Rattus norvegicus: one gene and its partners. The protein of the gene in region 2 binds, or shares a complex with, the protein of the main gene of each other region. Links are inferred from orthologs where the notes say so. Each region holds a gene or a part of one and is shown on either strand. Other genes may lie near its edges. The genes, in order: Sv2a, Syt1 and Cplx1.

Region 1 (3,297 bases), on a different chromosome or scaffold from region 2:
CAAGGGCAAGCTGCAGGCAGTAGGAATTCCCAAAAGGCATTGCTTTAAACTGGGGTCCAGAGAGGTGGTATCGAATTTATAAGCACTTTCTGTTCTCCAGGGGATCCAGGTTTGATTCCCAGCACCCACTTGGTGACTCACAAGGGCCTGTAGCTCCAGTTGCAGAGGATCTAATGCCCTCTTCTGGCCTTGATGGGTACCAGGCACATGTGGTGCCTACATCCATATGCAGGCAAAATGCTCATGCAAATAAAATATATGTTTATGTTGCTTTTTGCAAGAGTAACAAGGGCTATTAACCCACTAGAACCAGCATAAGTAAATGCTTTTTAAACAAAATGTAGATTTGAGGTACCCCATTCCATAAGTCCATGGTAAGAGAGGGGGCTTGCTTATTTTGGCCCTGAAGAAGGAATCGTTTCTCCCACACAAGTTTGTCTTCCCCAGATGGTCAGGATGGCGAACTGTGAATGGAGAGGCCAGGACGCACACACAGCCGCTTTGAGTTTTAAGGGTTCAGACCCTTTATTTTTCAGCAGTATTTTTCATTTCATTTTTTCACATCAATGGAGTCAGGTTCAGGGCTCCCCGGGAGACAAACAAGTGGCTGTGTCTCCCCTGGGGACGTAAGGGAGAGGGCCACGTCCAGCAACGGAATGATGAGGGAAGGGGCACACACACACTGGGCACTGGAGGAGAAGGCAGTCCTTTGAGCACAGACACGATTAAACAGTCACCACCTGGTTCAGTGTTACAAAATCGGAATGGCCTTAGGGTTGAGGGCACCAGACACAGCATAAGGAGGGTGAATTTGGATTTTTTTTTTTTTTAGTTTAACTTCCTTTTAACTTTTTTTTTTTTTTAACATTTTACAAACAGCTAAAAACTACAACACGTCACAGCTACGGTGGGAGTGGGAAGAGTACCAAAGAAAGCAGCCACAAGAGTAGGGTAGGACGGGGGGCAGCTCTACCTACAGAGGCTGTTCTGTGGAAGGGCAAGATGGGGAAACTGAGGCTTCAGGTCCCTGCATTAGGGGTCCCTCACGACCCAGCCTTTTTGAGAAGGGTTAGGGGATGGACCCCTGCTTCCTGCCCCTGCCCCAGCTTCTTGTGCTTTCAGACCTGCTGGTTTGACCATGTGTGCCTGGTTATTTTCCCTTTCTTTCCTCTGATACACTGCCTGTGTGGACAGGTCAGATGGGAGGGCTGTGGCTAGTGGGTAGAACCTCTCTAGAGGAAGGAGAAAGTCCTTGTCAGGTGCCCTCAGGTCCCCCAAGATTGCAGGGCTCACCCCAGCCTGACCAAGGACTTCTGCCTGCAGCCCCAACACAGGTACAAGATTCTGGGAGTTACGATAGAAAAACAGTGTTGTGTGTGTGCTCACTGAAACTACTACTCTTGGCTTATAATTGAACAGTATAGTGGTACCCCTACCCCATGGCACACATACACACACGCACACGCACGCGCGCACACACACACACATATGAGTGTATGTATACATCCACACACAGTCCAGCTAAGCTGCCTCAGAACTTACATATAAATAAGAATCAGAAAACTAATTCCATAAAATCCAGGCTTCACACTTGTAGCCTGAATTGAGGTGAAAACGGAGGCTAAGGTTTATTGCTACTCCCCAGCATCCTTGGGAGGCTCCCACTCAAGAAGTTCTTTTGGTCCAAGCCTCAGCCCCCACTATAACTCCATACCTGTGGTTCACCAGGGCCTAGGCGGAGGGAATGATGGGAAAGGCAGAAATTCTGGAACACCTGGAGCAGAGAAACAGTCGTCCCCACCCCTGCTAACACTGAGGGAGAGAAGGATGCAGCTCAGCCTTCTCCTTGTGCAAAGTTGAGGGTGGCAGCAGGTGGGGAGTCCCTCCTCCCAAACATGGGACAAAGGGACCCTCCCCGTAGCCCCTGCCCGTCAGGGTCACACACATGCACACAGGCACACAGCTAAGACACCAAACACGGAGTAGGACCAGGACAGCAGGGCAGGGTAGGGATAAAAGAAATTATTGGTCACAGTGTGCCTGCCATCCCTAAAGCCCCTGAGACACTCCCCCATCCCTCACTGCAGCACCTGTCCCCGGGTCTCAGGCAGCTTCAGAGCCAGAGAGCTACCAAGGGCAAGCGCAGCTGAGGCGAAGAGGATGGGAGCGGCCTTGGTGATTCCCACAAAGGACGTGAAGATGCTGATGCCCAGTACAGCTGCCAGCTTACACAGGGCATTCAGGAAGCCGAAGGCCGTCGTCCTGCTCAGGGCCAAGCCACGTGGCCGTCGGGGTCCAGCGGAAGGGAGAAGGGCAGGTGGGAAGGCAGAGTGGGGTAAGACAAAAGCAGTGTGCAGGAGCGGGAAGGGAGGATGGAGTAGGGACGGAGGGGGTGGGGCATACAGACACATTGGGAGACAGGAGAGAAAAGAGACAGAAGCAGAGGTTAGTAATTAGCAGTTAGGAGCCAAGACAAGAGCTCCCAACTGTTAAGGAAAAGCTCAGCAGGGATGTCTGTCCTACCCCTAACAACACCCTTATCCCTCACGAGATTCTTATCCCTAACGATATTCTTTCAGTCCTCCTCCTCATTTCGCCCCAGTCCTGTAGCTCCCAAACCTTCTCCCCTGCCCCTGCCGCACTCCAAACTACCTCTTGTCGGAAGGGTAGAGTTCAACAGTCAGCACGTCCAGCGCGTTCCAGGATGCAATACTGACTCCCCCAAAAAGGCAGAGCAGAGCGATCATGGCTGACTCACTGTTCCCAAAAGACAGGAAGAAGCAGGAAACACAGGACAACACACTGGAACCAGCTGGAGCCAGGAGAAGAGACAGCCGTGAAACCCAGTCGTGGCCCAGCTTACTACCAGCTAGCTTTGAGACCACCCCAGATAATGTTTCCCAGGGTAGCCAAAAGGAAGGCTTTTCACGTGTCCTCAACCCCTGTGTTGATTAATAACCCCTTTCAGTAGCAGCCATTTATTCAATACCAACTATGAACTAAGTAAGTCACGGGATGTTTTCTATGGACCTGTCTGAGACCAGCCTTCTGAGAGTGGTGCTGTGATTGCAGGTGAAGGCTAACAGGGTGTAACCAGTCCAAGGTGGAGCTGAACCCCAAATCTATAACCTCAAAGTCTATACCCTAATTGCCTACCATCCTATTTCTTTAATCCCTAGAGTAACTTCTATACCAGGCCCACCCCCATTTTGTAGCACCCCTAAACAAAACATGAGAGGGGGAAACTCTCTAGCCAATGTTTTCCACAGCTAGAGGTGAGAAGCCTGCTGACAGCCC
Region 2 (3,647 bases):
GGAAAAACGACAGCTATGCAATGATTTCCAATGTCAGGGAGGCCAAAACCAAATAAGAGACCTGATAGTGACCCAGACTACCAAGTCCTGCAGCAGAGTCCTTCTTTATATTCTGCGTGTGTGTGTGTGTGTGTGTGTGTGTGTGTGTGTTCGTCACTTGTGAGTACAGGAACAGCTGCACCATGACGCACATGTGCACATCAGAGGACAGCTCTGTATGTTACTTCTCTCACTCTATCTTTCTGTGGTTCTAGGATTAGGATCCAGGTCATCGGGTCCTGATGCTGGCCCTCAGTCTTTTTTGTTTAAGTAGCAGCCAGACATTAGAAATCATTAGAAATTAGAGATCAGGCAAAAAGATCTTTACTCCAAAGTTTTAAAAGAAACACTAGTATTCTTAAATACAAATTAGATAAATGAAGGGCGTGGTCTATCCTGTGCTTCTTTGGGAGGCAGCAGGGATATGAGATGGTGCTGAAGAAAGGTTATCAGTATTCAGAAGAGGGAGATAACCATGAGTGCTTGCTGCTGGCAACTGGAGGGACCCACAAGCCACAGGGACAGAGAGTGCCTGACGGGGTAGCCCAGTCTCAGTGCTTGCATAATTCCCCAAACTGTACATGTTTCCAAAACCCCAAAGGATGTTCCAACACCATGCCTAGTGTCTAGCTGCAGAGCTCGGGGAAAGCCACATTACTAAGTCTCATTATAGCCTATTGTATCATTTCCGTACAATTGCATCTTATGACACAAGTGCCAGGAATTTTAAGCCACCAAGACTCTGGGAGCTAACAGGGATTTGCTTTGCTTTACGGATAGCCCCTAAAACAGAACTAACAGTAACCATTCAGAGGCCTGCTTTTTGGGAGAGGTGATTTTTGCTTAAAAAGAAAAAAAATCTGTGTGTCCTCAAAGCATAGGTATGACTCACCACATGGCTGTCTTCCTATTTAGAGGTCGCAGCAAGGAGTCAGAGAACCAAACAAGGCTGAATCTCACAGAACTCACTGATGGGATAAGGGAGGGATTGGACCCACCTGCAGAGCAACCAGAATTCAAGACCAGACTCTGAGGAAAACAGAGGATACTTGAAAATCAGGGCAGCCAAGGAGTAGATGGAAGTGGGAAAGACTGGAGAAAACAAAGAAGCCAGACTTCAGATTGTAGGACCAAAAAAAAGATCTCTTGACTGAGCGAAGCACTGAAGGGAAAAATCCCCAATCTACATACATGCAAATGTGTAGCTTTAAGCACAAATAAGAAGACAGGACTAAGAGAAAGAACCTACCTCATGAGGCCTACACGACCTCCTACTTGTTCATTCAACAGTCAAAGAGAAAACCACGGGGGGCGGGAGGGGGTGCAGCTGGGTGGCAGAATAAATCCATAGCACGTACAAGCACCCCCCCAAATTTTATTATGCATCAGATTGTTTCAGTAAAATAGAGTGGTGAATATATGTAGCAGATATAGTTTCTGTCCTTTCAGGAGTTATATTCTACTGTGGAACAGAGAGAGGTAGATAAAAACAACCTTTTCATCTGCAACTTTCTAAAACTGTGCGGGCTTTAGATTGCTGTAATATTTCTCCCACTTCAAGCTCTAAAAGGCAAGAGAAAAAAATCTGAAAGGCTTAGCAGTAGTTATCTTAGATGATACTAATTTTTTTCTTTTTATCATTGCCTTCTGGTATTTTTCTATAATGAACTTGCATTATATATGAAATGGATTTTGCTTAAGAAAAACAGCAGAGAGGTTTTTTTTTTTTTTTATTCCTTTCAAAAGTCATGGTTTCTTGCAAAGTAAAGGTATGCCATTCGCCCATTAGTAATGAAAGCTCTAAGAGAGTGTTGCCTCTCCCCTCCAGGGTCTGGTGTATTATGTTAGTTACCTTTCCCCAATGAGGCTTAAGGGAAAATGCTCTGAAAATCCTTTTCTCTTTCCCTCCATGGGTATCAGCCTCTCCCTTATTCCCTGCACACCCTTGAAGGAAGCTATTGCAACCTATGAAGACTCAGTATGATCTCTCCGTGTCTGTCTGTCTCTCTCTCACCCTTTCCCTCAAACACACATACACAGAGAGATGCACAGACACACAAGGAGAGAGACACACTGTACATACAGACACAATGTACACACACACACACACACACACACACACACACACAGGAGAGAGAGAGAGCTCCAGTGTGAGCAATCAATCATGATCACTGACTTCTCTTCCTCAGCCCTCCCATTTCAGCGCCCCCAAACAGAGATGTCTTCTGTGTAGTTAGAGTCGTCCTATCCCTGCTGCACCCCACACTCTACCATCGCTGCCATTTTCCCAAAGATCTTGACTCGGCTCCTCCCTTGCACTGTGCTCATCAGCTTCTAACTTCACAGAAGTCTCCTTTCTCTAAAAGCTTAGTACCTATTACCCCACATTCTGAGATCCCATCACGGAAACAGAGACCTGCTGTGCTCAGTGCTGCCCCTATCGGTGATCAGAGGACCCAACACATATTGGCCACTCCAGTGTTGGCTGTGTAAGTGAATAAACAGTGAATGAAGCGGTCCCTTTGTCCTCTCCCTGTCAAGGTTTAGTCCCATGCACTAGCAAGCTATGGCCAAGCCAGCTCACAAAATTTAGCCAGTTGCTAAATCCCCACAGACTTTACAAGCCAGTTGTTAGTCCGTTTGTGGCTTAAAATGGGCCATGGTGAGTACACTTGTACCACAGAAATCTGCAAACGCTGCATGTCAGGACAGTTCCCCCTCAAAGAGCTGTTTCCCAGCATGCTCCGGTTCTTCCCTTCCAAATGTAACTCGGAAATTCGGCTAACATGACAATAAGCCTGCCCCAGAGCCTTCTTAAAAGCCTCTCAATAAAAGATGCTTGACGTTTTACAACAGATTACATAGAAGCTATGTAATCACTTACCTGTTGGGGTTCAGTCCTTGTCTGAGCTAATGTATGATCTAAAACATGTGGCTCTGGATGACAAAAAAGGTACAGACAATGAAAGTTCCTGCTGTCAGACCTAATGACCTGAGTCTGATTCCTAGGGTCCACTCAGTAGATGAAGAAGACAGACTTCCACACGGCTGTCCTTTGACCTCCATGCATGTATGCAGTGTGGTGTGCATACCACCACACACACAGTAAATCGTACTAGAATGTTTCAGATAAAACAAAAATCCACGCCTGAGCTTCTAGAGTTCCTGTGTCTGTCTTTCAGATCCCTACGTGAAGATTCACCTGATGCAGAACGGTAAGAGGCTGAAGAAGAAAAAGACGACGATTAAGAAGAACACACTCAACCCCTACTACAACGAGTCCTTCAGCTTTGAAGTTCCGTTCGAGCAAATCCAGGTATGGTCTGACATGAGTGTGTCCCTCTACCCAGTCGCAGGCCTTCAGATCCCATAAATGACCCTGTGAGTCACCAGGGCTCTGCCCATGCCCGTTCATGCGGTGCCTGAGCCCCACCAAGCAGGACATGACAGACACACAGCCGTGAGAAGGGCTGGCTCTTCAGCTGGTACAGCAAGCTGCCTTCTGCTGAGCAGAGGGAACGTAGAAAACAGAAAACCATCAGAACCACTTTGCTAGGTCATTAAGTTTGTCTATGGAATCCGAAACCTAAGGGAGAACAAACCTGCCT
Region 3 (4,274 bases), on a different chromosome or scaffold from region 2:
GTTCGGTCCCCAGCTCTGAAAAAAAAAAAAAGAAGAAGAGAAGTGGCTTGCTGTGGCCCTTGCTTTTTTGCTAGCTACCATAGACTCCTAAAACACAGAATGAGTCAGACTGGGCACATCTGTGTACAGGTGACCCCATTCCACGGGGCATCAGTCCTGGGCCTGAACAAGGCTTGGGGCATCAACCAACCTTACCAGAAGTGTGATGGGTGAACTGAGATGGATGGTGTCAATAGGAATGGCACTGGGAGACTCTTCTGTGTATGGTGTGAGTCATGTCCAACTTTCTGAATGATCCCCTCTCCTAGGCATAAACCTGGGTACAGTGCAGGCACTTCACCAGTGGGATCAGACTGTATCCCTAACTACAAGGCTCCAGGCTGAAGTCAGGGCTAGAAGATGGGGGACTTCTCTTCCTGTCTCCACTCCAGCTCCCTTCCTGGTCTCTTCTACTTTGAATCTGCCAGGTCAAAGGAACAAAAACTGATAAAAGCAAGTCTACGATGGACTCCATACCCTCCCTCAGCCCCTCGAATTCAAGCCACCAAGCACCCTGGGGCAGCTTTGGGATGTTAGTGAAGGAGGAATACTCATTAGGCAAGAAGTTTCACTGAATTGGGTGAAGGTCAAGATCTACCTAATCCGGAGGAATGACTCAGCCAGGAGGAACAGTAACAGTTAATGCAATGACCATCAGCACAAGACCCTGCGGGTCAGGAAATACCTCTGGCTACCCAGAATCAAAAAACAGCTTAGGTGTCCCCATATGCTCTGACTTCTGCGAAGCTGATTGCCTCACAGAAGCCCCCGCCCGCCCCCCAGGACAAGTACAGGGATGCCAGGCCAACCTTGTGGCCACCGGGTTCTTCTGCAGTGCAGCCGCAGCAGAGTTGAAATCCCGTTGCCGGGGAAGGGGCGGCCTAGAGGCGGGGCTGTGGCTGTCTCCGAGGAGCCCCTGCCCAGCCATGTCCGCAGTGACCTTCAGGCGTCCCTGACTGGCTGGGGTTCCTATCCCACCAAAGCCACATTTGGCGGTTCTGCACACCGGAGAAGGTTGGATGTGTGGGCTTATCTTGCAGGATCGGGGGTCTCGGGCGGTGCTCGCCTCTTCCCGCCCTGCCAGCAAAGGAGCAAAGCAACCGGGTCAAGAGCAAACGTGGTGGGTAGATGAGGGATGGCGACCCCAGCCCTGCGTTCTCCCTGCGTTTCTGGAGGGCGCTTCAGGAGGAATTCAGGAGGGTCTCCAAGCCGGTATGAAGAGAGTGGCCCAGGCCAAGGAGGGGCCCCTATGCAGCTGTCGCGCGAGCCAGGCCAGAATCTGGGAACCGGGGGCGCGGCTACCCCCCCATCTCCGCCGCGCCCCGCCCTCCTCGTCATGCGGGACGCGGGCGGGGGCGCTTCTGAGTGACGCGCCCTCCTCGCGGTGTCCTTCAGCCGCCGCAGCAGCACAGAGCGCCACATGGACCCCGCCGGCCTGAGAGCGCGCTGCTGTTGATCGTTCACCTTGGAAGGTAACTAGCGCCCTAGCAGCCAGTCCGACCTCAACCGGCTCCCACCTTTCCCCTTCCCAGCTCAGTCTTCCTCCCGACTCCGGGGCTTCCCTTCCCGGATCCCCGCTTTCTAGCCATGGGTCTCCTACCCTTGGTTCCCCTACTCTTGGTTCCTTGCCTTTCAGACCCAAGGTTGATCAGCCCGGAAGGCGCTGTCCGTCTCAAGGTGCTGAAGCGGCCCTTGATTCCCTTTCCCATCGGCATTTTTTTTTTTTTTTTTTTTTCCTTTCTTTCTTTCTTCTCTCCCTGGCGCGCTTCTGCCTGAGGCCGTGCTCCGGTCGGGCACCTCGCCCAGCAAAGCAAAGGGTGCGGCGGCCACGAAAGAACAGGATGCCTTGGTCTTTGCGGAATCTCCTCCGCAGCGACCGAGCTTCTCCAAGCCTGGCCCTGCGGAGCCCCCATCCCCCGATTACCCCGAGACAGAGAGAAGTTTAGAAGGCAACTGGCTTTGCTGCAAAGGCATCCCTGAACCCCTAGCTTCTGGGACACTCTCACTGCCTGGCACCCCTTCGGGTCTCATTCCGCAGAGGGAAACCTGTGAAATACTGGATCCCTAGGGACCAGGTTCCCTGTCAGGAAAGACCCTACAAAAAGGGATGTCTTTGCAGCTGTTGGCATTACAAAAAACACCTTTCTAAACGCTGCTGGGCATTCTGGCTTGGGTCGCCCTACCTCATGCAGAGACAATGTGGATCAGCTGTTTCCCCTCCTAGTGGAAGACCCGGACACTGTCATCTCCCTCCCGGGCCAGTACTGCTGCGGGCCTCCAGAGTCTCCCTACAGACAAATATAGTTGAGACTAGTCAGAAGTCATAAGGACCTTTCCTGAGGGGCAACATTCATGGACTTGTCTCTCCAATTCTTCCCCAGAGGGACCCTTGCCCCACAGCTCCAAAACTGCCAAGGAGGTTGAGCAGCCAGAATCTGGGTGCTACAAGCAGAGCATTGACCTTCAAATGCCCCCTGGGCCCCACCCCCACTTGAGGAGGCTGGCACCAGTCTCCAGTAACTGGTGGCCCCAAGTTGTGAGCTGCAGTGGCAGTTAAAAGCTTCCTTCAGAAACCCCAGAAGCAGCAAGATGACTGTTGGTTTGGCTGGGCTCTGAACCCTGCCGTCCTGGTCTGGGTGTGGGAACAAAGCCTCTCGCACTGGACTCTCAGGATAGTGGAGAGGTGTAGATGAGGGTCTTGGGAAGAGTCCGTCAGGGTACCTATGACCACCTACTCTCTCTAGGCAGAGGACTCCAACCACACTTGAATGTGAAATCTGACCCCGGAGTGTCTCCTGAGGAACCAAGCCATCATCATGGAGTTCGTGATGAAACAAGCCCTGGGAGGTAGGAGGTGGGCAGGGAGGAGGACATGGGTTTGGGCCACCAGGGATACACAGACATCTGATACTCAAGAGAGACATGTCTCTACCACTGCAGTGACATGGAGACACATGGCTGCATGACCACTTCTGACCTCACTCACTGCCTCTGCAGGTAGTTGCAGATTTAATATGAGATATGGGGAGAATGTGCTGTGTAAGATGGCCCTATGCCCCCGTGCCATGGCGCAGTAGAACGCACTGGTCATCCCAAGACGAGTCAAGAACTGAGCAGCATTGATCAATGCAGATACCCCGGCGAGGCTTGTGAGCAGCTCTCGTTGTGTCAGTCCTGGGAACAAACCATGCACCAGGATTGCGTTAGGAAACAGGATCTGGGTGATCCCAACTGTGGCATTGAGCTCTATGGGTTTCACCCGGGTAAGAGACAGTACTATTTACAAGGACAAGAAAGGATAACTATGTAATCAAGTCCACTTCTACAGAGAAAACATAGCCCCTTTATGTCGTTGAGTGAGGGCAGCCTCCTTACTCACTCACTGTTTGAAGAGAGTCCTGTCCCCACTTGGCCCAAAGCCATCTTTGTAGCTAGCAACAGTAGGTCTAGAAACTGGTAGAGGACAGTGGAATGAGTTCTTGGCCAGGAGGTGCTGAAACAGTGAGCTAAAAGGTTTGGTACCCGTTTGGCCAGAATGGGTTTCAACAGAGCAGTTTAGTCAGCTCAAGCCTGTAGGATTTGAGATTGCCCTAGGTGGACTTCATGCTTGTTCAAGCTACCTGCTCTAGGTACCCCAACACCCTTGTGTAGCCTCAGTGCTGAGAGCTCACACCAATTTTACTGCAGGGAGGCCCCTTGACTGGTGTGGGTCTCAGCTGGAATGTGTTAGGCATCCTTTGCTGTATGGAAAAGGGAAGGGGACCACTCACAGAGAGAAAGCTGGTTGGGGTCTTGGGGCCCAAAAGAGGAGAATCTGCCCAAATAGGCATCTCCCAGAGGGTGTCTGTGACTTCACTCGTATGTGATGAAAAGGAGACCCAGTGTGCTTGCTGAGTTCACGGCTGTGGTAGACTCAGGTTGAATCTAATTATAATGATTACATCACCGGGACAGGATTCAGAGGCAAGCCAGCATCCTGTATCAGAAGAGACCCGTGTTATACCCAGAAAGTCCCAGGCTGCTACAGACAATTAATTTGGTGGCTAATTCAGGCCCTGAGGTGGGCTTTTAAAGAAACTGAAATCTCTGATTTGGCTGTCTACGTAGCTGAAATTAGCTGGGTAATTGCCAGCCTGGATTCCCTCATTGTTCCATGTCAGCCCAAAGTTTCTCCTGCACCAGCAATGGGGCGTGCTTCTTGGGGTGCTGTGAAAGCTGCTGGGGCGGGGTGGTAA

Evidence for each region.
Region 1: the proteins of Syt1 (region 2) and Sv2a are in contact, whole or in part, in a crystal structure (PDB 4V11), measured with the Homo sapiens proteins. The link is inferred for Rattus norvegicus from reciprocal best matches to the Homo sapiens genes SYT1 and SV2A. Residues at the interface, in NP_001129277.1 of Homo sapiens: Thr291, Lys314, Lys326, Lys327, Lys328, Glu342, Ser343, Phe344, Ser345; in NP_001315603.1 of Homo sapiens: Asp82, Thr84, Glu85, Gly86, His87, Asp88.
Region 3: the proteins of Syt1 (region 2) and Cplx1 are in contact, whole or in part, in a crystal structure (PDB 5W5C), measured with the Rattus norvegicus proteins. Residues at the interface, in NP_001028852.2 of Rattus norvegicus: Glu271, Thr383, Gly384, Glu386, Thr406, Leu407, Gln408, Glu412, Met416; in NP_074055.1 of Rattus norvegicus: Val61, Met62, Gly65, Asp68, Lys69, Tyr70, Lys74.

What each region holds. Positions count from the first base shown.
Region 1 is NC_086020.1:186,443,365-186,446,661, reverse strand, and holds the end of Sv2a (synaptic vesicle glycoprotein 2A), read right to left. Parts: intron 2,813-3,297; coding exon 2,653-2,812; intron 2,263-2,652; coding exon 2,079-2,262; 3' UTR 501-2,078; downstream 1-500. UniProt on the Homo sapiens protein: Plays a role in the control of regulated secretion in neural and endocrine cells, enhancing selectively low-frequency neurotransmission.
Region 2 is NC_086025.1:45,705,662-45,709,308, reverse strand, and holds part of Syt1 (synaptotagmin-1), read left to right. Parts: intron 1-3,221; coding exon 3,222-3,355; intron 3,356-3,647. UniProt on the Homo sapiens protein: Calcium sensor that participates in triggering neurotransmitter release at the synapse. May have a regulatory role in the membrane interactions during trafficking of synaptic vesicles at the active zone of the synapse.
Region 3 is NC_086032.1:1,327,679-1,331,952, forward strand, and holds the start of Cplx1 (complexin-1), read left to right. Parts: upstream 1-1,394; 5' UTR 1,395-1,511; intron 1,512-2,783; 5' UTR 2,784-2,855; coding exon 2,856-2,886; intron 2,887-4,274. UniProt on the Homo sapiens protein: Positively regulates a late step in exocytosis of various cytoplasmic vesicles, such as synaptic vesicles and other secretory vesicles.